Ovis aries: one gene and its partners. The protein of the gene in region 7 interacts with the protein of the main gene of each other region in a pairwise test. Links are inferred from orthologs where the notes say so. Each region holds a gene or a part of one and is shown on either strand. Other genes may lie near its edges. The genes, in order: SAXO1, MIIP, TRIM42, ADAMTSL4, KCTD14, PLSCR3 and STK16.

What was found.
Region 1: the proteins of STK16 (region 7) and SAXO1 interact in binary tests that used the Homo sapiens proteins (3 or more experiments, as listed by UniProt). The two-hybrid records come from large-scale screens. The link is inferred for Ovis aries from reciprocal best matches to the Homo sapiens genes STK16 and SAXO1.
Region 2: the proteins of STK16 (region 7) and MIIP interact in binary tests that used the Homo sapiens proteins (3 or more experiments, as listed by UniProt). The two-hybrid records come from large-scale screens. The link is inferred for Ovis aries from reciprocal best matches to the Homo sapiens genes STK16 and MIIP.
Region 3: the proteins of STK16 (region 7) and TRIM42 interact in binary tests that used the Homo sapiens proteins (3 or more experiments, as listed by UniProt). The two-hybrid records come from large-scale screens. The link is inferred for Ovis aries from reciprocal best matches to the Homo sapiens genes STK16 and TRIM42.
Region 4: the proteins of STK16 (region 7) and ADAMTSL4 interact in binary tests that used the Homo sapiens proteins (3 or more experiments, as listed by UniProt). The two-hybrid records come from large-scale screens. The link is inferred for Ovis aries from reciprocal best matches to the Homo sapiens genes STK16 and ADAMTSL4.
Region 5: the proteins of STK16 (region 7) and KCTD14 interact in binary tests that used the Homo sapiens proteins (3 or more experiments, as listed by UniProt). The link is inferred for Ovis aries from reciprocal best matches to the Homo sapiens genes STK16 and KCTD14.
Region 6: the proteins of STK16 (region 7) and PLSCR3 interact in binary tests that used the Homo sapiens proteins (3 or more experiments, as listed by UniProt). The two-hybrid records come from large-scale screens. The link is inferred for Ovis aries from reciprocal best matches to the Homo sapiens genes STK16 and PLSCR3.

Annotation. Positions count from the first base shown.
Region 1 is NC_056055.1:87,546,761-87,550,260, forward strand, and holds part of SAXO1 (stabilizer of axonemal microtubules 1), read right to left. Parts: intron 2,892-3,500; coding exon 2,712-2,891; intron 1-2,711. UniProt on the Homo sapiens protein: May play a role in the regulation of cilium length. Stabilizes microtubules at low temperature.
Region 2 is NC_056065.1:40,918,923-40,922,422, reverse strand, and holds part of MIIP (migration and invasion-inhibitory protein), read left to right. Parts: intron 1-4; coding exon 5-57; intron 58-776; coding exon 777-906; intron 907-1,055; coding exon of another isoform or gene 1,056-1,152; intron 1,153-2,244; coding exon 2,245-2,379; intron 2,380-2,661; coding exon 2,662-2,884; 3' UTR 2,885-3,500.
Region 3 is NC_056054.1:248,852,209-248,855,708, forward strand, and holds part of TRIM42 (tripartite motif-containing protein 42), read right to left. Parts: intron 1,110-3,500; coding exon 885-1,109; intron 1-884.
Region 4 is NC_056054.1:100,567,590-100,571,661, reverse strand, and holds the start of ADAMTSL4 (ADAMTS-like protein 4), read right to left. Parts: upstream 2,801-4,072; 5' UTR 2,616-2,800; intron 2,472-2,615; exon of another isoform or gene 2,389-2,471; intron 1,899-2,388; exon of another isoform or gene 1,784-1,898; intron 1,210-1,783; exon of another isoform or gene 976-1,209; intron 83-975; 5' UTR 1-82. UniProt on the Homo sapiens protein: Positive regulation of apoptosis. May facilitate FBN1 microfibril biogenesis.
Region 5 is NC_056074.1:15,598,689-15,602,988, reverse strand, and holds the start of KCTD14 (BTB/POZ domain-containing protein KCTD14), read right to left. Parts: upstream 2,801-4,300; 5' UTR 2,746-2,800; coding exon 2,677-2,745; exon of another isoform or gene 1-2,676.
Region 6 is NC_056064.1:26,965,612-26,969,677, forward strand, and holds the start of PLSCR3 (phospholipid scramblase 3), read right to left. Parts: upstream 2,801-4,066; 5' UTR 2,367-2,800; coding exon 2,360-2,366; intron 2,096-2,359; coding exon 1,836-2,095; intron 1,729-1,835; coding exon 1,686-1,728; intron 1,585-1,685; coding exon 1,364-1,584; intron 1,090-1,363; coding exon 928-1,089; intron 1-927. UniProt on the Homo sapiens protein: Catalyzes calcium-induced ATP-independent rapid bidirectional and non-specific movement of the phospholipids (lipid scrambling or lipid flip-flop) between the inner and outer membrane of the mitochondria.
Region 7 is NC_056055.1:221,193,131-221,197,245, forward strand, and holds the start of STK16 (serine/threonine-protein kinase 16), read left to right. Parts: upstream 1-1,315; 5' UTR 1,316-1,361; exon of another isoform or gene 1,362-1,511; intron 1,512-1,721; 5' UTR 1,722-1,825; coding exon 1,826-1,911; intron 1,912-2,385; exon of another isoform or gene 2,386-2,409; coding exon of another isoform or gene 2,410-2,453; coding exon 2,454-2,673; intron 2,674-2,923; coding exon 2,924-3,057; intron 3,058-3,228; coding exon 3,229-3,349; intron 3,350-3,474; coding exon 3,475-3,570; intron 3,571-3,979; coding exon 3,980-4,101; intron 4,102-4,115. UniProt on the Homo sapiens protein: Membrane-associated protein kinase that phosphorylates on serine and threonine residues. In vitro substrates include DRG1, ENO1 and EIF4EBP1. Also autophosphorylates. May be involved in secretory vesicle trafficking or intracellular signaling.

The DNA of each region.
Region 1 (3,500 bases), about 130 Mb from region 7:
TCGGGCCATATGACTTTGTCATGTAGCAGGTGGCATGTCAAGCAGTCCCAGGTCCAACTTCAGAAACTAAGCCAGGTCTGCCTTTACATAGCAAAGTGGGCCGGACATTCTGACCACCAGAGTCCAAGAGCAGAAGGATGGCAACCTTCACAGACGCAGAGGTGTGCAGACACAAGGCCGACCTACCCCTTCCTCGCCAACCTCCAGTGGAGCACCTAGGTGACAACATCTCCACATTTCCCTGCAGGGAATAGTGTTATGTATTCAGAGATATGGACCAGAGTCTCTGCTGAGTTTACAAGGTTCAGAAAAGATGGTTAGTAAAATCTTGATTTTTGTTGATTTATGTCAGTAAAATCCCACCAAAGCTAAAAAAAAAAAAAAAAGGCATCCTGATAGTGGCATGGTTGTTTTGTTTGTGTTTTTCATTCTATAAAAATGTGCCCATCAGGGCAGGCATGGGACTGAGAAATGATGAAACTGAGGGACAAGAGAGAGAAGAGATGCCTTCTGCTCATCTCCACCTTAGTCCTCTTTCTGGGGAAGAAAATAAAGGAGAGGAGAGAGGTATTTCCGTCCTTTTTCCTTCCCATGGTTAACCATGATCCTGCCACTTCTTGTTTTTAAGGTCTTTATGATCATTAATAAGTTGTTTTGGAAATTCTTTTACTACCTGCATTCCTCCGCTTTGGCCACATCTTCACATGAATGATTTTATTATTCTGGCCTTGGCAGGGACAGAGAGGATTTCTGGGTGATATGTTTATTGTTGTAAGTGACACAGGCAAGGATAATTTAGAACAGGTCAAAGGGCCAGTTTTTGTTTTGCAAAGAAGGAGAGCATATGGGGGAGGGGGGCATGATGGGGAGGAGAGAGGGAATGTAGGGTTCCACTGGGGGCTCACAGCTCAGGCATGGGGCAGGACTACTGCTCCAGAGAAAAGGTTTGTCCTCATTCTCCTGAGCTTGTGGGTAACAAACAGAAAGCATCCTTCAACATCCAGCCCTCCAAGGATTCAAATATTTCCAGGACAATATCTGAAGCCACTCTGCACTCTACATTCCATGAGGCACTCTTTATACTTGGGTATAAAGAGAAGTGAAGACTAGCATCTTAAAACCAAATGTGATATTCACAAGCCATTTCTCCATACTGCTCTTATCTTTTCCTACCAACTACATGTCTTTTATACACAAGCCTAGTTCTTTTCATGAGTATCAACCGTAGGTTTTTCAAAATGAAAAGCAACATTTGAGAATGTTCCACTTCTCTCTCTTGTTGAGGTCTTTAGATTCTTAGAAACAAAGGATGTTATTTTATTGGCAAAATGAAGCCCAAACCCTAAGGTTTATGTTGTTTAGTAAGCAGGTGGCATAGATTACATTTTTTTTTCATGAATCAGGACCCAGAAACCCTGTGCTTAAATCAAATCAGTTAATACAACTACTCAGCATAAAGGTGGCCTGATTCAAGAATCAGACCCTTGACTCCCTCCCATTCTCAAACTGCCTCTGTCCACCAGTTCCCACTAAGTCCAGGGATCACTTGGCTTTGACCTTGCCTGGTGGGTCTTTTCTACCCCATCACCCAGACATGGACTTCTTTGGATATACAAGATAAGCAGCATATAGTACATGCCTCCAACCCACGTTCTCAACAGAGGATGTTTCCAGGCCTATCCTGGAGGAAACCTGGAGGCAGAAGGAATGGTGTTCTGCTTAGTCTGGGCCATCTGGGACCTTTATCAAAAAAGCACAAAATTGCAAGGCAAAAGTGGGGGCAGCATGCAATAGGAAGAACATTTACCAGATCTTGAAAACCTGTAATATGTGGGCATCATACTAGGACTAGTTCATCTCCACTGCACAGCAATGCTGCCCCTCAGGGATGAGGATCATCAGAGGCAGAGAAGGCATCCAGCTCTCAGGTCTTAGCTGGGGACTAAGCTATATAACCTGAAACACTGCCCAAGTAACTCCAAGGTGTTGGTACTCCTCTGGGTCATCAGTCACAGGTCAGATGTCACTCAATGAGTTGTCAACAGCCTGATTCTGTGAGAGCCTTGCAACGCAATGTGTAGAACAATCCTGAGATTGACCACGTGTCCCCACCCCCTCAATACAGATAACCCTGCGGCCCTGATACGTTGAGCCACGGGGCTCAGTCTCTGTACAGAGCTGGACCTCAAGAATCAGAGTTTCTAAGTCAAGAGTAATTAAAAAGGAAATATTCTTTGTTTATATTCTTGATGTATGGTCAAGGGGACCTCAATTCAAAATCTATAGCATAACTTCAAAAACGCTCAAGTTCTCTTTCACCACCACCAACATCACTACCACCACCCAAGCTGAACTAGAGCTTATGTGCAAAAGCCCAAAACTCCTTTTTCTGCAGCAGCCCTCACCGCCTTTCAAGTTATTACTTCCCTTTAATACTTTAAGCCTTTCCATGTAGGTCAATTTGCAATTCCTGCCCCATGGCCCCACCCCTGCCCCAGCCCCAAGCAAGAATCCTTGCTCACTAAAAGAGTGATGGGGAAAACTAAACTGGCTAATAAATGCAGGATTCTCTTTCAGAGATTCTGAGTAAATTAACATTAAGGCGTTAATAGCACGTATTGGCAGTGCACATTAATGTAATATTGAACATTAGGTTAATGTACGTTACTCCATCAGTGCTCTGCACTCATACATTCACACCATGCCCTCACCTCGATGTGGTCAGGCCTTCCATCGGCGTGCACGCTCTCTGGTAATCCATCTTGGGCTTGAAGGACTCTCTGGGCAGGTAAGAGTGATAGACAGGGTAGTTCTCGGTATATTCGGAGAGAAGACATGGTTTCTCTGTTTTGTCATAAATCTTGGTAGGGAGGTGTGGACAATGATGCCGCCTAGTTAAAAAAGAAAAATGGAACGTGAGGCTGGTTACCTTCTTGCGAAGAATACATTCAGGCTGCTACCTACTCAAAATGTGACCCAGAGTATAGAATCATGACGGCCAACATTGAAAGCAGGAGTTTAACCCTTCTTTTTCTCTACTCAACTATATGAAGTGGCCAGAATTTTTTAAATGATCTGTAACTGCAATTGGTTAATTGTCAAAATTCCTTCGATCATAAAGTTACAAAGCATAGCTGATGACCAGCCCTCACATGCATCATGCCTCTCATTTAAATACTGAAACACTCACATACTATAGGGAAATGGTTGTGGCCCCCGAGGCATCTGAATGCCAACCCAGTCCCTCCGAAGACCCCACTTCACCTCCCAGCCACCCAGCAATTAAAGGCTTAACATCTGACCTAACAGGGGGCTCCAAGGCTATGCTCAAGGGCCAGGTTTACTATCTTTCCTCATTGGTTCCTGGGTCAATTGAGAATATCACCCTCATACACAAGTGGCATCACACAGAGCAGAACCACCTCAGTTCTGAGCATATACCACCGACTACGTGAAAACATTTTTGCACTGAAAGTCTGGTTCCTTTCTTCTTTCAGGTC
Region 2 (3,500 bases), on a different chromosome or scaffold from region 7:
ACAGACCCCACTTCCTAGGCTTGCAGGAGAGTGATGCTGTGGAGGAGGACCACGAATGTGAGTGTAAACACTTGGTTACCCCAGAGCCCAGCCAAGGCCTGGGGGCCTGGGGAAGCAGCTGAGTGTTGAGGACTCAGGGAGGGAGCCTGGTGTCCCGACAGGGCATGGTGAGCCCTGGATAAGGGGTGGGGGTGAGCTGAGGCTTGGCCTCATGGGGAGTAGGGCCAGCCCTGTGCACTCACTGCCAGCTTCCCCAACCGCCTTGCTTCCCACATGCCCCGCGCCCCCTTCCTCTCCTCTCTGCATATGGGTCATCTGAGGTGGGGGGTTCTGGCTGTCACGTGAGCACCTGAGTCTATGTTGTGGGTTTGTACATGCAACATATAGTGTTTGTATCCATGAATGTATATGCGTGTGTGAGGTGTGTTCACGTGGACATATATGTGTGTGCACTGTGTGTGATTACAAGTATAAACACACCGTATATGTCCACAAATGTGGCTATATGAAGCAGTGCTCTGAGTGTGCACAGATGACACTTGAATGTATGAAGATGCCAGCACGTGTGCACGCATGTGTCATGCTTGAGTAGAAAGCGGTGCTCAGTGTCATTGTGTGTGAGCACGTGTATGTGTGCACACTCCGTGTACACGTGGGCGGGCCTGTGAATGTGGCCACTGGGGCTGTGCAGGGGCTGGTGGGCCTGTGTGGTTGGGGTCCAGGGGGTCTAGGTTCCCTGGCTGAGGAGGGACTTCTGCTCCTCTCTGGTCTCACAGGCGTGTACTGTTACCGTGTCAACCGGCGCCTGTTTCTGGTGCCTGCGGATCCTGGCACCCCCTGCCGCCTGTGCAGGAAGCCACGGGCCCAGCAGGGTGCAGGGACCCTGGCGGAGCCAGCGCAGGTCAGGTGAGTGGCCTGAGTGGGCAGGACACCCAGGGGAGTCTCAGGGGCGGTGGCAGAGGGGAGCAGAGCCTGGGGCCCATGGTCTTGGGGGCAGGTTGGGCGTCGCAGCCTGGAGAGACCTGCAGGAGCGCCCCCACTGTCGCCACCCCCAGGGTGAGCATCCCACTGTCCGTCCTGGATCCCCCACACCGGCACCGCATCCATCGGCGGAAGAGCTTCGACGCCTCCGACACACTGGCGCTGCCCCGGGTGAGGATGGGGGTAGGGCTGCCCCCTGTCTGGCCCAGTCCTCAGTTGTGTCCTGAGGCCCAGAGAGGGCCAGGACTGTCCCAGAGCCACACAGTGACGCTGGGCTCAAGGACCCCAGTCTCTGGAGTTCAGACTGGCCACTCACGTCACCTGTGCTGTTCCTGTTCCCTGATGGAGGTCAGGCTCCCCACCCACCCCCCGTCTGCCCGTGAGCTGGCATAATGCAAAAGGGTCTGATTTCTCATGCTTTTGTGTGCCGTGTGCACAGTCCTCAGGGGGTTTATCTTGTGGGGTCAAGCAACAGAGAGTGCAGTGGTGGTGGTTTAGTTGCTAAGTCGTGTCCAACACTTGCGACCCCATGGACTGTAGCCTGCCAGACTCCTCTGTCCATGGGTTCTCCAGGCAAGAATACTGGAGTGGGTTGCCATTTCCTTCTCCAGAGAATAGAGGTCCTGCTGTTATTCCAATTTACAGACGAGGAGACTGAGGCAGAGGGGAGGTGCCTTTTCCATGGTCAGCCAGGTAGAACTTGGGGTCTTATACTTCCATGATGCCTCCCCCATAGAGCCACCCTTTGTGTCTTCTGGGTAGGACAGGGGTCAGTGGGGACCCCACTCACTCCCAGTTGAGGCCGAGGATGCTGGAGTGGAAGCAAGGAGAAGGAGTACTGAGGAAAGTCCGTTTGCTCATCTGTAAAATGGGTCCAGTGTACTGTCCTCAGGCTTATGGGGTGAGCGGGGGGCAGGTCAGTGAGTCAGTACTTGTTAGGGGCCTGGAGCAGAGCCTGGCACACAGGATGTGCTCCATCAGCATCCACAGCCTTCCCTCCACCCATCTGTGGTTTGGGTCCGCAGGATTAGGAAAGGGAGGCCCGGGGGAACAGTGGTGGACACAGACCTCTGCCCTGGGGGAGCCTCAGTCATGGGAGACACTGATTATTTGCGGGGGGTCCCTCCACCCTCATGGGGGACACAGCCCTGCCCTAGAGGAGGCTGCCAGTCCGGAAGGAGAGGTGCAGCCCCTCCCTGGGCCTGCCTGGTCAGTGGGGAGCCCCGCTCCCAGCCAGGCGCCTTAATCCCTTGCTCTCCACAGCACTGCCTGCTGGGCTGGGACATTATCCCTCCGAAGTCTGAGAAGAGCTCAGCTCCCAAGACCCTGGACCTCTGGTCCAGTGTCTCCTCTGAGGCCCACCATCAGAAGCTGTCAGCCACTGGCTCTCCTCACCTGGTACGTCCAGGGTGCCCTGGGAGGGGCAGACACCTTGGAGCAGCCTGGGGACTGCAGAGTCTCTGGGGGAGGGGCGCAGAACCTGGAAGCCTCTCTCTGTGGGCTCCCATATCCCTGGCCCTGACCCCCAGCACCTTTCCAGTCTCCAGTGCTCCCCACTGGCTACCCTACCATGCCCTGGAAGCTGACCCCAAGTCCGAGATCCAGAAGGGGATGAGGCTGCATATGGAGGGAACCCATCCCAAAGAGGCCCCCTCTGAGACCTTTCTCTTCATTCCCTAGGCTGTGCCAATGCAGGTCCCACCCCCGACCCCAATCTGGTCAGAACCCTCCTCCATGTCCCGGCCTCGCTCCTCCCAGCCGAAGCCCTGAGGACTGGCCACTTGGAGGTGAACAGTGCTCCTGCCGTCGTTTCAGCTTCACCGCTCTGGCAGGGGTGCCCACGAGAGGGGAGCCTTGCCCAGTCTTGGCTGGAGGTGGACTCAGGCCCCACCTTCCTTCCTAGGCTGGGCCCCGGCCTGTCTCCTTCCTGGGGACACAGAAGGGGACCCTGGGGTTGGGGTGAGGGGATTCTGTGACACGTTTGTAAGTAAAGCTCAGTGCTCCCTGCAGCCCCAGATTCCCACATGTGCCGGGTCTGTCCTGCCGATGCCCTTAGAATCTCAGAGGTGCCCTGGCCTCAGCCTGGCCCTCCTCATCTGGGGAAGGACGCCTCTGACAGCGTGTGCCGGGTGGAGTGGATCCAGCACTGAGTGTGGCACTTTTGGGGGTGAGGGTCCCCAAAGCAGGCTGGGGTCAAGGTCAGCATTAAAAGGCCCCCTCAGCAAGGGGCTTGGGGTCTCAGGCCGGCCCCTGTAGATGAGGCTGAAGCTGTGACAGTGGGGAGTGAATGAGCCCCTCCTTCTTGACCCCTGACACCGGGGTCCAGTGATAAAGGAATGCTCTTAAAGTTCCTGGGTCCCGTGGCTCCTTTATTTCCATCTCAAGCCCAACCCTAGAAACCATGGATGATTCAGAGCCCCAGCAGGGACACCTGGGGAAATAAAAGGCCAGGAAGGTTCAAGTCAGAGGCAAGTGCTCACCTCTGCCCTCCTGAATTAGTAAGCAGCGTCTGTCTTTCC
Region 3 (3,500 bases), on a different chromosome or scaffold from region 7:
AACTGATGACTTGCCGGTTTTCTTGCGTATCAGGTGTGTGTCTCATGTGGAAGTGGTCTCATGAAAGTCCTCTCTCTCTGTACTATAAATTTCTCTTTTCAAAAGTCAAAAGGAATGGATTTATTCTCTTTACTTCTAAAGAATCTCTGATTAAGATATAATTTACTCTGATTCCTAAGAGCACCATCATGGTTGTACAGTAAGATAGTTCTAGGCAGTCTTGGCATATTTCTTCCCTTTCTCTTTTGAATATCAATAAAATTATGCCCCTGAATGTATTGCCCCTGGAGATACAAGGAAGAACCAGCCTTGCATCACAAAAAAAAGATAGAAATAATCTTATCCCTTCCTTTTTGGGAGTCCTTCCTGGCTTGCTCACTGGCAACTCCTTGACTTCCAGATACACAACAAATACATTTTTTAGTATAACTATTTCCTAAATACGGCATAGGATACACTAACACTAAAAAATTTCTTCATTGCATGCGTCCTGTATTTATATTGGTTAAATCTGATACACTATCTTTGCTTGAATCACCACTGGGGCTAATGTGTCACTTTTTTGGTCCTTTTTACACCAAGATTATTTTTTCTAGACCTTGAGCTCCTTGAAGGCAAGAATTATGTCTTATTTTCCTTGGAATCTCTACATCCTAACCTGATACCTGGCACGAATGTTTTCTGAATCAGATGGAAGTGACGATTCTCAGGCCTCATTGGCAAAGTTGGTTGAGGCCAGGGGCCCTCTCTGTGTCCTTGAGTAGCAAGTTTTCTGGGAGTAGAGGGGCCTGTCACAGGGTGAGTTCCATGATCTCACGATCATCCTGACAGCTGCATCCAAAGTGGATCAAGAACATCTGTCTGAGAAGTAACGTGTACAGTACCTTGCAAATGTCACTCCACTGCCCGGGACCGTTATCATTGATGGCTCGCACTTTAAACAGGTACTCGGTGTTGGGGGTCAGGTTGTGTAGCTCCAGATTCTGCTGCATTATGTCCCGAATTTGTCCACAGAGCTCTGTCCGCACGTTGTTAGGAGGGGAAGTAATGAGTTCATAGAATTCCATCTCAAAAGAGTCCACGTCTTCTGTTGGGCATGTCCAATAAACCTAGGAAGAAGTGGATGTGTTAGTGGGGGTATTAGCAGACACCATGCTTTTCCTTGAAGATCTGTGTTATTGACCCCATGGGGTAAGTTTAAACTGACTCAGCCCCTCTAGCTGCTGAAGACCTTGTGCAACAGTCTTGAGGGTCTGGGTGATGAGTCCTGACATGATGTTTATCATGCATTTTAAGAACAGATGGATGCTCCTCTGGCTTCTGTTCCTGTCAGTCAACGTGAAGGTGATCTTGCCCTCTGAACACCACTAACCAAAGTGTCTACCATTTACTGAACACCTGTTATGCATCATGTCTGTGTCAGACATGGCCTGACTCATGTGGTCCTCACAACTTCCTTGGAGGGAGATTTTATTATCCCAGTTTACAGTGGGGGGCTTCCCAGGTGCTGCTGTGGTAAAAAGCCTGCCTGCCAATGCAGGAGACACAAGAGATGTGCGTTCAATCCCTGAGTCAGGAAGAACCCCTGGAGTAGGAAATGGCAACCCACTCCAGTATTCTTGCCTGGAAAATTCCATGGACAGAGGAGCCTGGAGGGATATAGCCCATGGGGTTGCAGAGTCGGACACAACTGAGTGACTGACCATGTATGCAGGCATTTTACAGAGGAGCTCAGAAAGGTTACATTTAGCAATTTCAACTAGAAGTTGAAAAGTGTATATATTTCAACCCTTCATTTATACACAAAAGAGTCCCAAAGAGGTGAAATGACTCATCCAAGTAATGGAGAACATATTTTCATACTCAAAGCATAAAATGTCAACTCTTGGGAAGAGAAATATTAACAAATGTTAATTAGTAGATTGTGTCTGACATATAAATATTTTATAATAGCTGTATTTTTAAACAGACATTGCATACTTTATTTAAATTTTCATAAAATTAAGTGTTATTGTGTGTACAGGGAGCTCAGCCCAGCTGCTCTGTGATGACCTAGAGGGGTAGGATGGAGGTTGGGGTGGGAGGGGGGTTCAAGAGGGAGGAGATGTATGTATACTTATAGCTGATTTACGCTGCTGTATGGCAGAAATCAACCAACATTGTAAAGCAAATATCTATCAATTAAAAATATAAAAATGTTGTTGTGTATAAAATAAATTTCTTATAAGTATACACATTTTAAAGTTGCTCTGAATTTGCATGATTACTTTATAATTATTTTTATATATTTACACTTTTAAAAGTATAAAAGCCTGACTTATTAATAAGTCATATAAATGTATAAAGTTTTTAAACATTTTTTTGATTATCAAAATGTACTTGTTTTAAATACAAACTTGGAAAACACATAAAAAGTATAAGAAAGAAAGAAAATAAACATCTCTTATAATCTCAGAGTTCAGTTAATAATTCATTATTATTTCTTTCCAATTTCAGAATACACACGAACACAAAAATGTATGTAATTTGGATTATATTGCTTGAATTCCTGCTTTTTTCCACTTATTGCATTTTATATATGTCCCTATATCATTAAAAATTCAGTAAAGCACCATTTTAATAATTGCCCCATAAATGATTTGGTCCTTCTATAGTTGAACAGTTAGGTTGGCTCTAATTTTATACTCTAATAATGATGCATTGAACGCTTTGGGGCATGGATCTTCATCACATTTTTAATCATTTCCTCAGGGGGGATTTCTAGAAATAAAATGGAGTTTTTATAAAAAAATCTTTTAAGACTTTTAAGATACATAGTGACAACCCATAAGACTAACTTAAAGAGTATTTCCTGTGCCAAAAGGAGACAACAAATTTAAGGTTACCAAAGGAGAAATGTGTACGGTTGGAGGTATAAATTAGGAGCTTGGGATTAGCACACACACACTACTGTATATAAAATAGATAACCAATAAGGACCTACTATATAGCACAGGGAACTGTATTCAATATTCTATAATAAGCTATATGAAAAAGAATCTGACAAAGAATGAATATATGTATATTTGTAACAGAATCACTCTGCTGTACATCTGAAACTAAAAAATCATTGTAAATCAACTATAGTCCAGTTAAATTCAAAAAAATAAAAACAAATATCCCCAAATAAAAGAGAACTGTTAGTCAATCATCACTTAAGAGAGATGCCAACACTGGTTTCAACTTCTGTTATCACTGAGCACTATGATTCCTGTGTGAACTATACCCCATGATCCTGAAATAGGTGTACTTCACCTATTCAGGTGAAAATATTTTAAAAAAATGATATTTTTACACCAAATGCCACTGTCTGGCAGTAGGTTTAGGTGTCCTATTTTGAGAGTCAGTGACTTCACTGAGTTTTCCTATATACGTTCCTTTCTTGAATTCATCAAGGGTGTGTTAAGCCCAGGGGGCCCAGGGAGACTGTTCTTCAAGCCCAAGAATAGAGCAGACATCAC
Region 4 (4,072 bases), on a different chromosome or scaffold from region 7:
GGGGATTGGGAGGGATGACTTCTCAGAAGGACAACTCAGAGTGAGAATGGAGGGGTGAAGATTGGTCCATCCCTTAATGATCCTAAAGGTGAGAGGGAAAAGGAGCACTGCCTTTGTCCATCTACCCAAGCTGAAGGGGTGGAGGTCTGCCCTCAGCCTCCCAGCTCAGGCGCAGTCCCCTCCTTCAGCTTCAGGAACTTCTCAGCTCCTGTGTCCTAAACAGCGACTGTCTCTAGGCCAGCTCAGACACATGCATCTTTCTTAAGAGGGTTGAGGAGGGAGGTTCAGTGAGGACTTTTCAGACATCCTCTCTGAGCTGCTGACTGGAAGCCCCCTGGGCTTTCCATTCCCACCTGCTTCTCAGCCTTTTCTTGCCTTCTTACCTAATAAGCTCCTTCTGGAACACTTGACACAACTGTGCCTATCTCAAACTTTGCAGCCAAGGGATAAACTAAATGGGCTGATGGTTTATCTCTAGAGAAGCAGGTGATTTTCCCCAGTGATATTTAACTTCCCTCTAGGGGCCAGCCTCTGGCATTGGATCAATGAGGCCTTCCTTCAGGCAAGACTCTGATGGCTGGGGGAAGCTGGGGAGGGGAGATACAGCTAGAGAGGCTATTGGTCCCCAGTCACTCATGGGTCTATCTTCTGAAGAGCCAGGAAGTCCATCCTGCAGTCTCAGCTTGATCACTGGAGAAGTGGAGCTTGGAACCCTCCCCTGGTCTAAGCCTGGCTCTCCCATGGCTCCCCCTGGCCCTCCAGTCCCTTCACAATGAACCCTTCCCACCCCCACTCTTCATGCTGCTCTGAGCTCTGCTTTCCAGGAAAAAAAAAAAAATGTTTCTGTTGGATCTGAAAGGCACCCGGGAGAGGAATCCAAGGAGCTAATGCTGAGGTGGGCCAGCTCAGGGGCAGGAAAATGACAGAGGGAAGGGCAGGAATGTGCTTGGAGGTAGCAAATCCATTCCCCCTCACCTCCCTGAGACCCCAGCGCTTGGGATGTTGAGAAGGATCACAGTGGCGGGGCCTGTGCCCGAACGGTCTCCTCAGCTACTTGGGGTTGTGAAGGGGGTTGCTGATGGCTGCTCCTTCCCTTGGCTGGGCTGACCACTGAGGTCAGCAACTCCGCCCTGATGAGGAGGCGGGTAGGGGCTCCAGAGAAGGGCCAACATTCCACCCAAACCTTCAGCTTTCAGCCTGACTCCCTTCCTGGTGGTTGAAGAGAAGGAGATGGGAGGCTGGTCACTGCCACTTCTTGCTGCTGGGTCCCCTCTCCACTTCCTCTGCCTCTGCTTCTCTCTGCTACCCCAGGCCTGTGTCTAGCTGTCTCTCTCTATGGGTCTACCCAGTACACATAATCCTGTCCTGAGCTGGGTTTGGCTTTGGCAGCTCCCTGGAGAAGTGAGGGGTGGGGGGTGGGGTGACGTGAGCTCCTGGGGCCAGGGCCAGGCCTGGCTCCCTCTCTGGAAAAGTCCTACCCCACCCCCCGCATAGCTGGGCAGGGGGCCGACACATGCACACACAGGCACACACAAACGCTGCAGAAACAGATACACATTTGTGGTTTTCAGTCTTTTCATGTTTTCCGTTTCTCATCTGGTGAGCCTCACTGTCCAGAGTGAAGAAAGGAGAGGTCAGACAGAACTGGCCATTCTTGGGCCCGGCTGACACTGGTCTAGACAAACCTGGGCTCCTCCCTGCCACAACTCCACACTGGCCAGTGGAGATCAAGGAGGAGTGACCTGGGCAGAACTAACCGCTTCACTAACCCCAAGAGACCTACCTCTGGGGAACAGTGGCACTGAGGGGCAGGGGGTGGGTCCAGGGCTCCAGGGCTGGCTGCAGAGTCCTTGTCTTGGGCGAGAACTCCTTGGTCCTCCTTGTGCCACTCCTGGGTCCTGGAGGCCCACCCAACAGGTGTCCTGCCTTTCTAGTCGTCAGGCTGAGCTGGATTCGGGGCACCCACTTGTAACCCTCCCAGCGTCTGTGCCCCCCAACCCAGGACGGAAGCGGATGACAGGGTTGGGGGGATGGGGGAGGAACGCATCATCCAGAAATACCGTTCCAGAGGGGAAGGGCAGGAGGTGCCCGGCGCGTGCCGGGAGCTCCTGGGTGTGTTTTCCAGTTTTATTCTGTGTAGGAATTTTGGCTGATTCTTCGTCCGAGTGATGGGGCCAGCGTTCCAAGAGATCAGAGCCCCCTCCCCAGGAATTGGACCCCAGGGACTGGAAGATCTTCCGAGGCTATAAGAACTGGGGCCGGGGTCGTGGCTGGGGCGCGACCGCGGGGCTCGGAGAACCCGGACGGCGCGGCGGCGTGGGGCGGATGGTCTAACCAGACGGGGGAGAGAGGGCGACCGGGGCCAGGGGTCCCAGGGAAGATCTGTACCTGCTCTGCGCGGCCCCGGCGGCCAGCTAACCCCTCTGCGCCCGGGCGCTCCCTCCAGGCAGCCTCGCTCCGCGGCAGCCACTGCGGCCCCTGGGCCGGGCTACGGCCGCCTCCGGCCGCGGCTCCGCCCCCGCCCCGCCCCGCCCCGCCCCGCCAGCCCGCCCGCCACGCGCCCGGCGGCAGCCCCCCGGCGGCCCCCGAATCCCCAGCCCGCCAGGGCCACCCACCCTGGGCTGCGGGCCTTGGCCGCTCCCGCCCGGCACCTGCCGACCGCTCCAGGGGGCGAGGCCGAGGAGGTCCCAGCCGGGTTCCGAGGGAGCCATCGCGCCAGGGCTGTCCCTCGACCCGGCTGGGGCTCGGGTCTCCGGGACCGCGGTCTCCCGACCGGCTCTGAGTGGGCGGTGCGAGCGCTGCGCCAGCCCGGGCGGAGCGGCCGCGAGGGGCGCCAAGGGGTTGGTGGCGCCGGTACCCGAGCGGCGTGGGCGAGCCCCGCGCCCCACATTGGGGCGTTGCTGGGCTGGGAGATGGTCAAGCCTGACCTCGATTCCACGTTGGTCAGGGCCCTCTCCATCACGCAGCCTCCCGTGCAAGCCCAGTTATCCCTGCTTCTCCTAAATTGGACTGTGAACCATGTGGTTCTGACTGCTCAGGGACCCTCTAAGCCTCGGTTTCTTCATCCATAAATGTTACCTACGGGGCGTAGCGCAAGGAATGCGCTGATTTAGGAATCAGAGGATCTGGATTTGAATCTCCCTCTGTGATCTTGGATGAATGCTTCAACCTTTCTGTGCTGCAGTTTCCTCATCTGTAAAATGGGGTTAACCTGACATACACGAATAGGCTTGGAGATATGTCTGCCTAGTTACTTAGATCAGGAAGAATACATCCCAAACTCGGAACTGGGGGCAGCAGCTGGGGAGGGGTTGGGAGAGGAAAATAAAAATATAAGCTTTCACTTTTTTACTCTGTATGCTTATATGTTTTTGAATGTTTAACCACAGGCATTATCTGTTTTTTATGGTAAAGAAATAAATAATACACGTAAAATGACAGAGTAGATAAAGTCATTATTTTTCTTGTCACCACTATTTTAAAAGTTTTATTTGCCATTTTTTCATGAACTACAGTCATGTACTGTTGGGTCTACTCTCAAGCATTTGAAAGGTTTTATTTATTTATTTTTTTCCAGTGACTTGTCAATATTTTAAAACCAGGATATTCAGTAGCAGGGTATCAGGTGTTCCCACCTAATACTTATTGAGCACTTTCTGCACTTGGTGTGGAGGGCACAGTTAGAACAGCCTCTGGCCTTAAGGAGTTGGGTCTAGTTGGAGACAGACTTGGGAGGTAAGTACTGGACTCAACAGAAGCAAATGTTGTCTCAAGAGATGAGGGAAGTGAAAACATAAAATGCTTTTAAGTATAAGTATTATATCCTTATTTGAAGTTCAATATCTATATTTTATTATAATTTATAAGTTATATAATTTATATTATAAAATTATAATTTTATTATGATTTATTATTATTTCAATAAACCCCTAAGTTTTCTCAAGACAAGGACCATTTAGGCCACTTTGTGTCATCTCTGTTTTTTCATCTTTTGTATTTCTGTTTTGGTTTTTGTATTTGTAGAGTTAATAGAAATATTTGGAATGAAACAGAACAAACAGATGAGTCCCAG
Region 5 (4,300 bases), on a different chromosome or scaffold from region 7:
ATCAGGCTCCTCGGTCCATGGGATTCTCCAGGCAAGAATACTGGAGTGGGTTGCCATGCCCTCCTCCAGGGGCTCTTCCTGATCCAGAGGTTGAACTGTCTCTTATGTCTCTTTCATTGCCAGGTGGGTTTTCTACCACTAGCGCCACCTGGGAAGTGGCGGCTGGGATCAAATCCGTGTCAGTCTGACTGCAGGACAGTATGAGTGCTCTACTCCCACCTTCCCAACACCCAGTCCCACCGCTGCCAAATTATCAGCTATGATCCTGGGGCATCTCACTTCCTTCTCCGGGCTTGAGTGTGTTAGTTGCTCAGTCATGTCTGACTCTTCGTGACTCCATGGATTGGGGCCCACCAGGCTCCTCCATCCATGGGATTTTCCAGGCAAGAATACTGGAGTAGGTTGCCATTCCCTTCTGCAGGGGATCTTCCTGACCCAGGGATCGAACCTGGGTCTCCTGCATAGCAGGTAGACTCTTTTTACTGTCTGAGCCACTCTGAGCTTAACCTTAGTCATCTATGACATAGGGAGGCAAAATGGATGAAGAGAACTCTGAGTCTCTTCAGCTCTGAAAATTTAATGAATCCAATCACTTCAAATGTTGTTTCTGAAGCTCATTTCCAGATACTAAACAAAATAGCCCCCTGCCCTGATATCTTCATCCCCATTTCTTTAACATCCAAGACCCGGGCCCTGTTCCCAAGCTTCTTAATTCTGTCCCTTTTCCCTCCTTGTTTTCTAAAAACGCCAAACCTCTTTGGGAATCCCAAACCTCCTACGTCATCCATGAATACTGCTGTATTTGTTTCTAGCAGATAAAGACTTCTTTCCCATCCCTCTTCTAGACTACCAGCCCTTCCTTACAGCCCCTCCTCCCCACCTGTTCTACCCAGTCACCCTGCTGAAGCATTCCTCAATGGGCAAGTCTGACCTGTGTGCATTGGCTGGAGACATGTGGGTATCAGACTAGTGCTGGTACACAGGGATGAATCAGACAGGCCCAACTCTAACTCCACCAAACATTCATACATTTCCTTACGTCACTCTTAGTCTAGTCAGTGGAGGGACATCTCCAGTCATATGTCCCCAAGCCCCAAGATCTCTCCCCGCACCACAACTTGGACATTTTCCTGCCGCATCCTGTCTTAGTCATCTGAGCCAGAAACCTAGACTGTAATCTTGCACTCTGCTCATGTCCTCAACCTCCCCACACACAGGTAATGAGGCACTAAATCCTGGGGATTCTAAATGCCTCGTCAGATCCACGGCTCCTGGCTTCCTGGAATGTCCTCACCCAATCCAGTCTCAACTCTGAAACCAGAGCAGTTTCTCGGAAGTGCAAATCTGATCTAGTCACTCCTTGCATTAACCACTTCTGTGATCCCACATATCTTTAAAGGTAAATTCTAGACTCCTTAACGAGGTTTACAAGGCCCTTTGTAACCCTGACAATCAACTACCAGAGCCAGTACTGGTCTCCCTTCCCGAGCCAACCAGAGCATGCTGGGCCCCACTGTCCGCAGGACGTCACTCGCTCACCACCCACGGTCCCATCACTCAGCCCACTCAGCCTTCAAGTTAATTGCTCTGGGAATTTTCTGGATGGGTTGTCTACTTGTGATTTTAGAGGCCCATGTACTTCCCTCGTCATGGTAGTTATCGCTCTCTTGTAATTTTGTTCCTTCATCTGAATCCCCCACTACCGTAGAAGGCTCCTAAGGGAGGACTATTCCCAGATTCATCTTCGTGTTACCAGTACAAATTGCAGGGCTCAGCACAGGGGGCTGCTCAATGTGTCTGTTGAACTGAACCGCACTTACCCTCAGCACTGACTCACAGGAGCGCCCTGCGGTTCTAATAAAGGCCAGTCTTGCCCTACTTAGCATCAGGCGTGGTCCAGGCTTCCTCCCTCTTCTAGTAATTAATTCAGACATTTATTGGGCACGTTGGGTGGCCACGCCTCTGACCAGGTGACTTTGTCAACAGCCAACAACAATAAGGCTGTCATCACCTGACTGGAAAATGCCACAGTCGCCCCACGGCTTGCTCTGCTTTCCCTTCCTACAAGCCTTGGAGATGGCACCTAGCCCGGGAGAGGTGAGAATGCTCTGATACTAGAGTGCACTGGGCTTTTTCTTGATACTCCCCTTTGGTCCCCACTCCCCCTCCATACCCGCAAATCCTGGGAGGAAACAGGCAAGCAGGAAGACTCAGGAGCCAGCCAGAGGGCAGGGGTTCAGGTTGCAGAAGGGGTGCGGTGGGAGGGGGGGCGGTGGACGATACTCGGGCCCGCCCCCAGTGGGGGCTTCTCCCACCGGCAGGAGGGGTGGGGCAGGGAAGGAGGAGGGGCAAGCCAGAGGGGCTGCGAGAAGAGACACAAAGCAGACAGGGAGGAGACCACACAAAGGCCGCCAAGCCGGAAAGAGGGCAACCAGGAGCTGCTGGACTGAGCCGGAACCGGCGCCGAGACCGGGGCGCTGCCGGAGAGAGCGAGGCGGCAGGAACAGCCCAGGTGGAGAGCCCCCAGCCGCAGGCCGAGAGGGGCGCGCACGAAGCAGGGGAACCCAGACCTGCGGGGAGGGAAGGGTTAGAGGGCCCTGGAAGGAGTGAGGAAAGGGAGGGCGGCGGGCCCGGAGCCGCGCGGGTTTGCACGCCCGTTGCGGGCTTCGCACTCACCGTCCGCCGGCCGGCGAGGGGCGCGGCCCGGCCGCTCGGCCGTGAGTCGGGCGCCGAGGTCAGGCTCATCTCCCCCGGCCCCGCGGGCGCTGGCCCGTGCGGGCTACTTGTGGCCGGCCGAAGTGCACCTGGCTCCCGCCCGGGGGTGGGGGAATCCTACCCAGGGTGTGGTGAGAGCCCTGATTGGGCTGCAGTTGGCCGTAACACCCTAGGCTGGTCACTGCCCCTCTCGTGTCTGGGTTGCTGGACAGCCAAATGGGGAAGGGAGAGGGAACTGACGTTGACTCCCTGGACGCTGTCCACTCAATACAGTCGTGGGGGTGAATGATAAGAAACACCCATTTTACAGGTAAGAAAAGTGAGTCTCCAGGGGACAGTGGATTATATAGTCACCTCAGATCAGCTGCTGAACGTGCAGCACATGCTAGGTACCTGCTGTGTGTGTTATTTTGCTGGTAAAATATAATCCTGGTGATCCGGGATTATTACTATATTATTATTAAAGAATCTGCCTGCCGATGCAGAGAACCTGGGTTCAATCCCTGGGCCCCCCTGGTCCGGGAAGATTCCACATGCCCCATGGCACCTAAGCCCAGGGGCCACAACTAAGCAAAAGATTTATTTACTGTGCTCTAGAGCTTGGCCACCTCATGCGAAGAGTTGACTCACTGGAAAAGACTGATGCTGGGAGGGATTGGGGGCAGGAGGAGAAGGGGACGACAGAGGATGAGATGGCTGGATGGCATCACTGACTCGATGGCCGTGAGTTTGAGTGAACTTCGGGAGTTGATGATGGACAAGGATGCCTGGCGTGCTGCGATTCATGGGGTCGCAAAGAGTCGGACACGACTGAGTGACTGAACTGAACTGAACTGAAGAGCTTGTGAGCTGCAACTGCTGGAGCCCACGGGCACTAGAAGTCCTCCAGTCCCAGCTAGAGAATAGCCCCCTCCCCCAGCAACTAGAGAAAGACCCTGCACAGCCACCAAGACCCAGTGCAGCCAAAACTAAATAAATAAAACTTAAAAAAATTAAAAATAACTATTAAAAAAATATTCCTTATGAAGTGGGGAATAACTCTTCTGTAGTATAGGCCTGCATAGTGACCTTCCAAAGAGGACAGTATGGAAAGAGAGGGGAACAGAAGAGTAAATGCACAGTGGAGAAAATGACAGAGACAGCTTTGCCAGGTGATTATCCAGGTGATCAAGGTCAATAGCAGGAGTCAGAAATTATGATGATAATGTATATCCTTGATAGAGTGTGATGAAAATGGCACTTTTTCTCGGTGATCCTCTTCCCCAAAACCCACGCATCCATGCATGTTAAGTCACTTCAGTTGTGTAGCCTGCCAGGCTCCTCTGTCCATGGGGTTCTCCAGGCAAGAATACTGGAGTGGGTGGACATGTCATCTGCCAGGGGAACTCCCCGATCCAGTGATCAGACCGGGTGTCCCTTGTGTCTCCTGCATTGGCAGACAGATTCTTTACCACTGCAACACTTGGGAAGCCTCTCATTATTTATTAAGCAGTTAAAAATAAACATCAGAGCAGTGTATACTATGGGAATTCAGTAAAGACATAAACATAAACCTCATGTAAATTTATACCTATTTATGTGAACA
Region 6 (4,066 bases), on a different chromosome or scaffold from region 7:
CTAGAACTGGAGTGATGTCCTGCCCATCCCCTTCCCCGAAGGTCCTACAGCCCTGGGGCACTTCCTGCAGACCAGTCCCAGGTTGGGCAGGGCCTCTCCCAGCCAGCCCTGTGGTCCCAAGAGCACAACCCCAAATGTGGACCATTCATATTACATAAAAGGAAGATTGACCTGATAAGAACCATGCAGTCTACATATTCCCATCCAGAGATCATCAAGTTATCTCTTTGCCAATGAGTTCCTATCAAAGAAGCTTTCCCCAGGTACCAAGGTGACTCAGTTTTAAAAAGTAACCTTAGGTAGAGCACCTTATCAGAAGCCTTGGAAAGCCTACCAGACTATACCTGTTGTTTCCTCCCTTATCTACACATATAATTATCTCTTAAAGTATTCAAGTGCCTTTATCTTCTAGAAAAGAAGGTGCTTCCCAGGCTTTACTCTTAAATGGTCACCACTTGGATTCTCTAGGCTCTGGGTTGGTAACCAGAATGTATGGTAAGAAGGACATCACCTGGATTTCAGACTAGGGGTGGATGGGTGGACATTTGGCAAGGTAAGCCACAGGATATTAACAAGTGAAATCAGTGCTTGCTCCAGGGCCTGGGCTCACGAACTCACACACACAGGCGCCATGTGGGCCCAGCCCAAGGTACACTCAATAATCATCCTTCACCCTAACTCCAGCCTGGCCTAAGCTAATTTTTTTCTCCCTCAACACAAGGTTGCAGATCGCAATCAGCATTGGCCCTTCAGATGAAATCCTCAGCCATGTTTTATAAGATCCTGGTCCATCTTATTTCTGAGTAGAGAAAAGCCAGCAATGTGGTAGGCATCACAGCAGGTTTGGATTAATGAGCTCTTGACTATCCTGCTTCATGGATGCCTTGGTTTATGAAGGTCCCAGGAATCTCCCCTTATTCCTGATACCTCAAAGTTAGTGTCCGTGCCACAGCCACACGTCCAGCAGGGCCCCACCACTCTCAGGAGGGTTTGGCGGTCAGCATCCTGAATGGAGAACTTGGGGATGAAAGGATGCCAGGTCTGTAGAACATGGCCAATGGTGGTGCCCGGTGGAGCCTGGACTTCCATCTGGAGTGGGAAACAGACAGGATCACTGCCCAGCCGGGTACCCTGGCCCCCAAACTCTCACCAGTCTAGCTCTATCATCTGTTTCCCCTCATGAGACCTTCCATCCCCTTCACTAGACCACCTGTCTTCCCTCTCACTAGGCCTCCCATCCCACCTGCTGCTGGCCAACTCCAATCAGAAGACCATCTCATCCCATGCCTCACCCAGGTTCTGCCGCCATCACTGGCCAGCCCCTTACCCGAGTTTCTCTCCGGCCCCAGCCTTCCCCACTCACCTCCTGGAGGCCACACGGACAGCAGCTGCAGCCACAGTGGAGGGGGCGGAGCAGGCGCAGCACCTCTCTGTCCCCGGGGTCCACCAGGCGGACTCGCAGGGGCCGGCGGGCACCACAGCACAGCCGGGCACAGCAGTTGCTCTCCTCCGCCGCCTGACCCAGGGGTTGTCCGGCCCCAGAGCGCAGTTCGTAGCGGTTACAGGTCTCCCAGCCCAAGAGCGCTGCCAAGGGGTGACATGCTGAGGCTCCGACACCAGCGCCTGCCCCAGAGCCCACTATTTGCCCCCGTGATGAGGCCCAACCTATTCCTCCTTCCACTCACTTTCCACCGGCTCAGCCTTCTGGTGAATCAAGATCTGATCAATCTGGAAAGACAGTAGGGGCCAGGCGGACATCAGCTGGCCTGCCTAGTCGCCTGGGTCCCCTCCCTGTCACTCCTCCCTTCCTTCCTCCCTCCCTCCCTCCCACTCACCTGCATCAGGAATTCGAGGCCGGAAGGCACCCCTGGCAATGGCAAGAAGGGGGCAGCTGGTCCCGGGGCCCCAGGGCCAGGCGAGGGGAAGAGAGCAAAGCCCGGCGCAGGGGCAGGCACGTGGGCAGGCACTGGTGCCTGCCCGGGCCCGGACACCTGGCCGGGCCCAGGCCCAGGATGCAGTGCCGGCTCCGGGTATCCAGCAGTCACAGGGTAGGGAGGTGGGGGCGAAGGGGCATACCCTTTGGGGGGCAAGTAGCCTGTGGGGGGGACAAGAGTAGGTTAGAAGGGGTCCCTGACTTCATCCCTTTACCCCTTGGCCCACAGGCCGCGAGGCTGCGGGGAAATTGTGATGAGAAGAGAATGAGAAAGATGGGGCGGGGGAGCAGGGCGGCGGCTTCTCGGGGAGGAAGGGAGGGGCCCCACACAGCCAGTCCGAGCACATTCCCGGAGGATGCGTCTGACACCGGGCTACCAAGTCCGTGGGGGGGATAACGGAGACCCTCGACCTTGCGCCCACTTACCTGCCATGGGAGAGAGGCGAGGATTCGCGGGATCTCGGTGTCCCAGAGGTTTAGTTCTAGAAGTGGAGGCAAGCTCGAAGACAGCAGACAGACACAAAGACAGACACAAAGACCGACAGGCAAACGCGGAGAGGCGGCTGCGCCCAGCGCCGGCCCAGGGTCTCTAGGGCGGCGCGTCTGACTCGGGGAGAAACCGAAAGTGTCAGCGGGCAAGGCGGGGGCGCTGGGACCCTGGATTCCCGCAGGGGCCCCAGTACCGCCCCCTCCCTTTGTTCTCCCATTCTCCGCGGAGGCGGCTGTTGGCAGACCGCAGGACAGATGGGCCTGCAGTCAGACCGACGACCCGACCTCGAAGGAGGTCTCCTGACCCCTCTGTTCCCCCTGCTCACCTGAAGCCCCTAGAATAGCCCGGGTGCCCAGCACTCGGCGGCCCGAGGAGCTAGTGGAGGCGGGCCCAGAGGTGACTCCGCCCCCGACCCGTCCAGGCCCCGCCCCTCCCGGCCAGAGCGGCGCGCCTGCGCAGAAATAATGCTTGCTTTCCGGTGGGGCCCCGTGGCTTGGCGGGCGTCCCCGCCCTTTCCGCTCGGATGCTGAAGCTCGCCTGGGAGGGCAGTCGGGTGAGACCTAACCCTGCGACCCCCGCCAGGTCTGCGGGCGGAGAGTGACCAGTGACCCTTAGTGGGAGAGAGGGCCGCTCGCGCGGCGCTGGACCCCAGGCTCCTCCTCCTGAGGGCGGTTCCGGCCTCGCTGACGCAGCCAAGCACCCTACACTCTCACCCATTGGCTTTTCCGACTGGCTCCTGGCTCCCCTTCTGCCTCCTTGGGGCTACCTTGCCCATCTTCTCTACCTGACGCAGCAGTGACACACACGGACACTTTGCAATTACAATCCTTCCTTCAGGCGCCCCCAGCCACGCGACAGGCCGCCAGACAGTGTCAGTAACGAGCGTGCGAGAGGCGAGGCTAAGGAGGCAGCCCGGACGCAGGCAGGCCTTCCCCAACAGGCATCACTTCCTCGGCTTGGAGTCCTGAGCCCAGGCCAGGAGGTGTGAGGGGGTCCTGCGCCTTGGGGGCCTAAAGGCTTAGTGGCAAGAAATGCCCTTTTAGATAAGAATTCGGGCCACGTGCGCAGAAGGCCTTGTGGGAGCTGGGCTTTGGCCCCCAGGGCAGCAGGAGCCCACTGAAAGATTTTACGAAGACGGAGGGAGGTCAGCTATTTTAGAAAACCATTTAAACTGCGTGGTGGGGAACAGAGGCACCTAAGACTGGGTTGTTGCCAGTAGTCTGGGGGAGGGGATGGCTGTGATAGTGTAGACAGACGGGAAGCGGCAGACTTTGGCTATATTTAGACAATAATAGAGAACTTGCTTGAGAGGTCAGATGCAGAGGTGAGGAGTCCAGGATGACTTCTGTTGCCTGTCTGGTGACCAGGCAGATCGGGGTCTCACCCAGCAAGATGAACATAGGGAGAAGCAGGTTTGCCGGCTCCTCTGTCCCTGTTCCTCTGGGCTGGTCCTACAGCTTCAGTCATCATCTGCTTCAAACCCAAGTGCCAGACCTCTCTCCTGGTATCCCTTAGTGCCTACCTGGCCCAAACCATGCACCAACCTCCACCAAAACACAAACGGAAATTCAGTTATTCAGTGTAGATTTAATGAGCCCCTACTGTATTTCAGACAGGCAATCAAAAAAGGTATGTGGCATTTT
Region 7 (4,115 bases):
TCATGAACCAGCTTCATCATGGGAGCTTGTTAGAAATGCAGAGTCTCAGACCCTACCTCAGACCTGTAGAATCAGAAGTTGTATTTCAACAAGATTTCCGGGTGCTCTGAGCACATTCAGGATCGAGAAGTAGATTTCTGCTACACTGAGCCCCCTGAGGATAGGGAGAGCCTTGTCCATCCTGAGTCCTCTGCTGCTATCACAGGGCTCAGTACACAGCAGGTTAAATCTAGATGAATGTCAGATCTAGGTTCAGACCCAAGGGAAACCAGAGGATATTTTCTCAGTATATGAAAGGGGAGTGGGAGTTGGGGTGGGGATCAGGTTACAAGAGGAATCTTCTTCCTAGAGAATCCTGTCCTGTTTCAACAAAAGAGACCATCTAGGCCATCCTATCATCTTTGGATGTGCGCCCCTTTCCAATTTACCCCTGCCTGGGCAAGAGACATCAAAGTTCCAAGGTTTGGAAATTTGTGAATTTCCATCACTCACTGCCTTCACAGTCCCAAGCCTGGGATGTGAAGACCAGGATAGTTATTATTGTTATTTCTGCTTATGGACACTACTCAGGGCTATGCATCAATCGCTATAGTAAGCACTTCACCTCTCATTTAATCTTCAAACAACTCCATGAAGTAGATAATAATCTCCATTTTACTGATGAGGTGATTGGAGGATAGAAATATTAGCCCGTTAACAAGGTCACATAACTAGTTTAGTAGAGCTGGGATTTGAATGAGGCAGTCTGGCCTCAGAGTTCATGCATTTAACTTTAGGTACTCTTACACCTATTTTACAGTTAAGGAAAGTGAGGTTCCTAGAGGCTAAGTAACTTGTCCAGGTGACACAGCTAATGGGCTATTAAGATTCCGACCCTAGTCTAGTTGAAGAGCTTGAGCTCTTAACTACTGTGATTACGGTAATAAGATACAGGCCAGAGCCCCCAAGGTTGTACTGATCAGAGCTGCAAAGGGGTGCAAACTGCCAGCTCCCGCCCCCTCTGAGCATCCACCTCCAGGCTGGACCCCAGTCGGCCACCCGGTGCACGGGAGGTATGACGCCTCCTACCTCTGGCATTGGGAGAGGCAGGTCCTGGGGGCCTCGGGCCGAGCCCGGCTTTGCTCCCCTTTGACGTAGGTGCCTGCGTCTTGACCCTCACTGCAGGCCAGGTGGGGAACCCTCACCCGGGTCCTGGGACCCCTTCTCCCCCAGGCCTAACCCGCCCCCGGCCTCTCAGCTCCACGCCCCCACATCGTCCTAGTGCTCAGCGGTTGCTAGGATACTGCGGGCCGTTACGCCGGCGCGGACTGATGACGTACTACTGCTTCCGGCCCCTGGCGCTTCCCTCCCGCTGAAGCCGGGTGAGTGTGGTGTCCTGGCTGGCCCACCCAGACCGAGACCCGGAGTGGGTTCTGCAAGCGGTGGGTCCAGGCCTCGCATTCCTCTCCGGATCTACCCCGTGCCCTGCCTCTACAGCCCAACGGGGTGTGCGAGTGAGGGGCTGCCTGAAGGTGGGCCGGGGTTGGAGGAAGTGGCCTGGGAGTCGCCGAGGGGCCTGGGCCCTTTTAAGGCACCTGACCCGAGCCTTCTTGGAGCGGGCGTTGCCAGGGCTTATTTTCTCTAGGTTTGGAGACCTGGGCCTGAGCGCTTCACGTTGGCCCTTTAGGGGGGGGTCATCTGGATTGTGCCCCGCCCATGACCTGCCATTCTTTTCCTTCCAGCATGATCTGCTGGAGCCCCAGCAACTTGCCTGAAAGAGACCACTCGACCTGGACGAACCCTTTGGCAGCTTCAGACCGTCCTTGAGAAGGATGACTGAGACACTATGGGCCACGCGCTTTGCATCTGCTCTCGGGGAACTGTCACCATTGACCATAAGCGCTACCTCTTCATCCATAAACTGGGGGAGGGGTGAGTGTTTTGGAAATCATTTAGTCCCAAGAATTGTGGTGTTTGAAGGACAGCAGTCAGCACAAGATAGGGGCACAGAGCCTCTAATTCACCGGCCGGAGCCCAGCTCCTTGGTAGTCAAGAAAGTGGATTGTGGAACCAGTCTTCCTAGAGTCACCATGTATGGCCTTGATAAGCCCTAGTTGCTTTATCTGCTTATTAGAGCTAATTTTGCTTCAATGATGGGGCTGTGAGGACTAAATGAGATAATTCGTATCAAGTGTCTCCCCTATTGCCTGATAAATAGCACTTGATAAAGGTTGGCTGTTATCTATTTAGTATTTATTGAAGCCCTGCATTAAGACCATAGGACCTAGAAAGTGACTGTGTCCTTGCTCTATGTGAATAATCTTCAGACTTCTTTTTAGAGTCACACCTTGGGAGGGTTGCTAGTAAACGGGAGACACCCCCCCCTCCCCTCGCACTTCTTCCCAGGGAATTCCTCTGGATCCCAGCAGTATGGGAGATGACCTTGGTCCTTCACTGACCCCTTTGGCCCACAGTGGGTTCAGCTTTGTGGACCTAGTGGAGGGGTTGCATGATGGACAGTTCTACGCCCTGAAGCGAATCCTGTGTCATGAGCAGCAGGACCGGGAGGAGGCCCAACGAGAAGCAGACATGCATCGCCTCTTCCATCACCCCAACATCCTTCACCTCGTGGCTTATTGTCTGAGAGAGCGAGGCACTAAACATGAGGCCTGGCTGCTGCTACCCTTCTTCAAGGTCAGAAAGTCTCCTGGCTATGGATGGGATTGCAACAGAGCGGTGTGTGCCAAGGGCTATCATGAGCACTCAAGCACATTAGGAAGCAGAAGTCATGTTCTGGTTTGAGCATTTCAGATTTGGGGTTTAAGGAACCCACCTGGGGCTGTAGGGTGTGTGGTGAAATTGCTATAAATTCTGACATAGGGAAAGAATCAGGCTCAGGGAGCAGAGGCTAAAAACATCAGCTGCGGGGAAACTTGTTTTGCAGAGAGGTACGCTGTGGAATGAGATAGAAAAGCTGAAGGACAAAGGCAACTTCTTGACTGAAGAGCAAATCATTCAGCTGCTGCTGGGTATCTGCAGAGGCCTTGAGGCTATTCACACCAAGGGTTATGCCCACAGGTCAGTGGGAGGCTCCATGTACTTGCTGGACAGAAAGGAAGAGCCTCATGAAGAGAAATGAGAGATCTCTGTGCTCTTCTCCAGGAACAGTCCCCATGATTCTTTTGCTCCCCCTAGGATCTTGGGCTTTTGGTTCAGGGATGCTCATGGGTCATTTCTACTTCCCTGCAGGGACCTGAAACCCACCAATATCTTGCTTGGCGATGAGGGGCAGCCAGTTCTGATGGACTTGGGGTCCATGAATCAAGCATGCATCCGTGTGGAGGGCTCCCGCCAGGCTCTGGCCCTCCAGGTAAGAGTTTCCAGAGTCCTTTGCCCATCTCTTCCTCATCCTCAGCCCCTTCTGGTCCATGCCCCAGTTTGGGCACATGACCAAAACCTGTGCCCTGCTTCTGAGCTCTGGGGCCACTGTTCCAGGACTGGGCAGCCCAGCGGTGCACCATCTCCTACCGGGCCCCGGAGCTCTTCTCCGTGCAAAGCCACTGTGTCATCGATGAGCGGACTGATGTTTGGGTGAGGAGCGTGTGGGTGGGAACGTGGAAGGGGAGGAGTGCTGCTCTGTAGCTGCTGTGAACTGGAGGAGCAAGTCTTTGGTTTCCAATGCATGGGGCCCCAGGAAGCATGTATGTCCCAATCCCCCCTTGACTTCCTTCCTGGGAACTATCACTGACACTGTACTCAGTTGCTCAGGAAGTGATATAATCTTGCCCTTTGAGCAGGATAAGTATAACTAAATGTCAGGGCTGGAGGCAGCGGCTCAGCACAAGACGCAGAGGCCTCCAGCTAACTGGCAGTTTCTCTGGGGCCCTGGTGGTGTCACGTGACTGAAGTCTGCATACTGCAGCCTCCTTTCACTACAGAATGAAACAGAGAGAGATGACTCCATTGGTCCTCTTCCAAGGAATAACCAAGTTATGCTCAGTCCCTAGGCTGTGTGCTATATGCCATGATGTTTGGGGAAGGCCCTTACGACATGGTGTTCCAGAAGGGTGACAGCGTGGCCCTTGCAGTGCAGAACCAACTCAGCATCCCGCAGAACCCCAGGTGAGCTTGAAAGG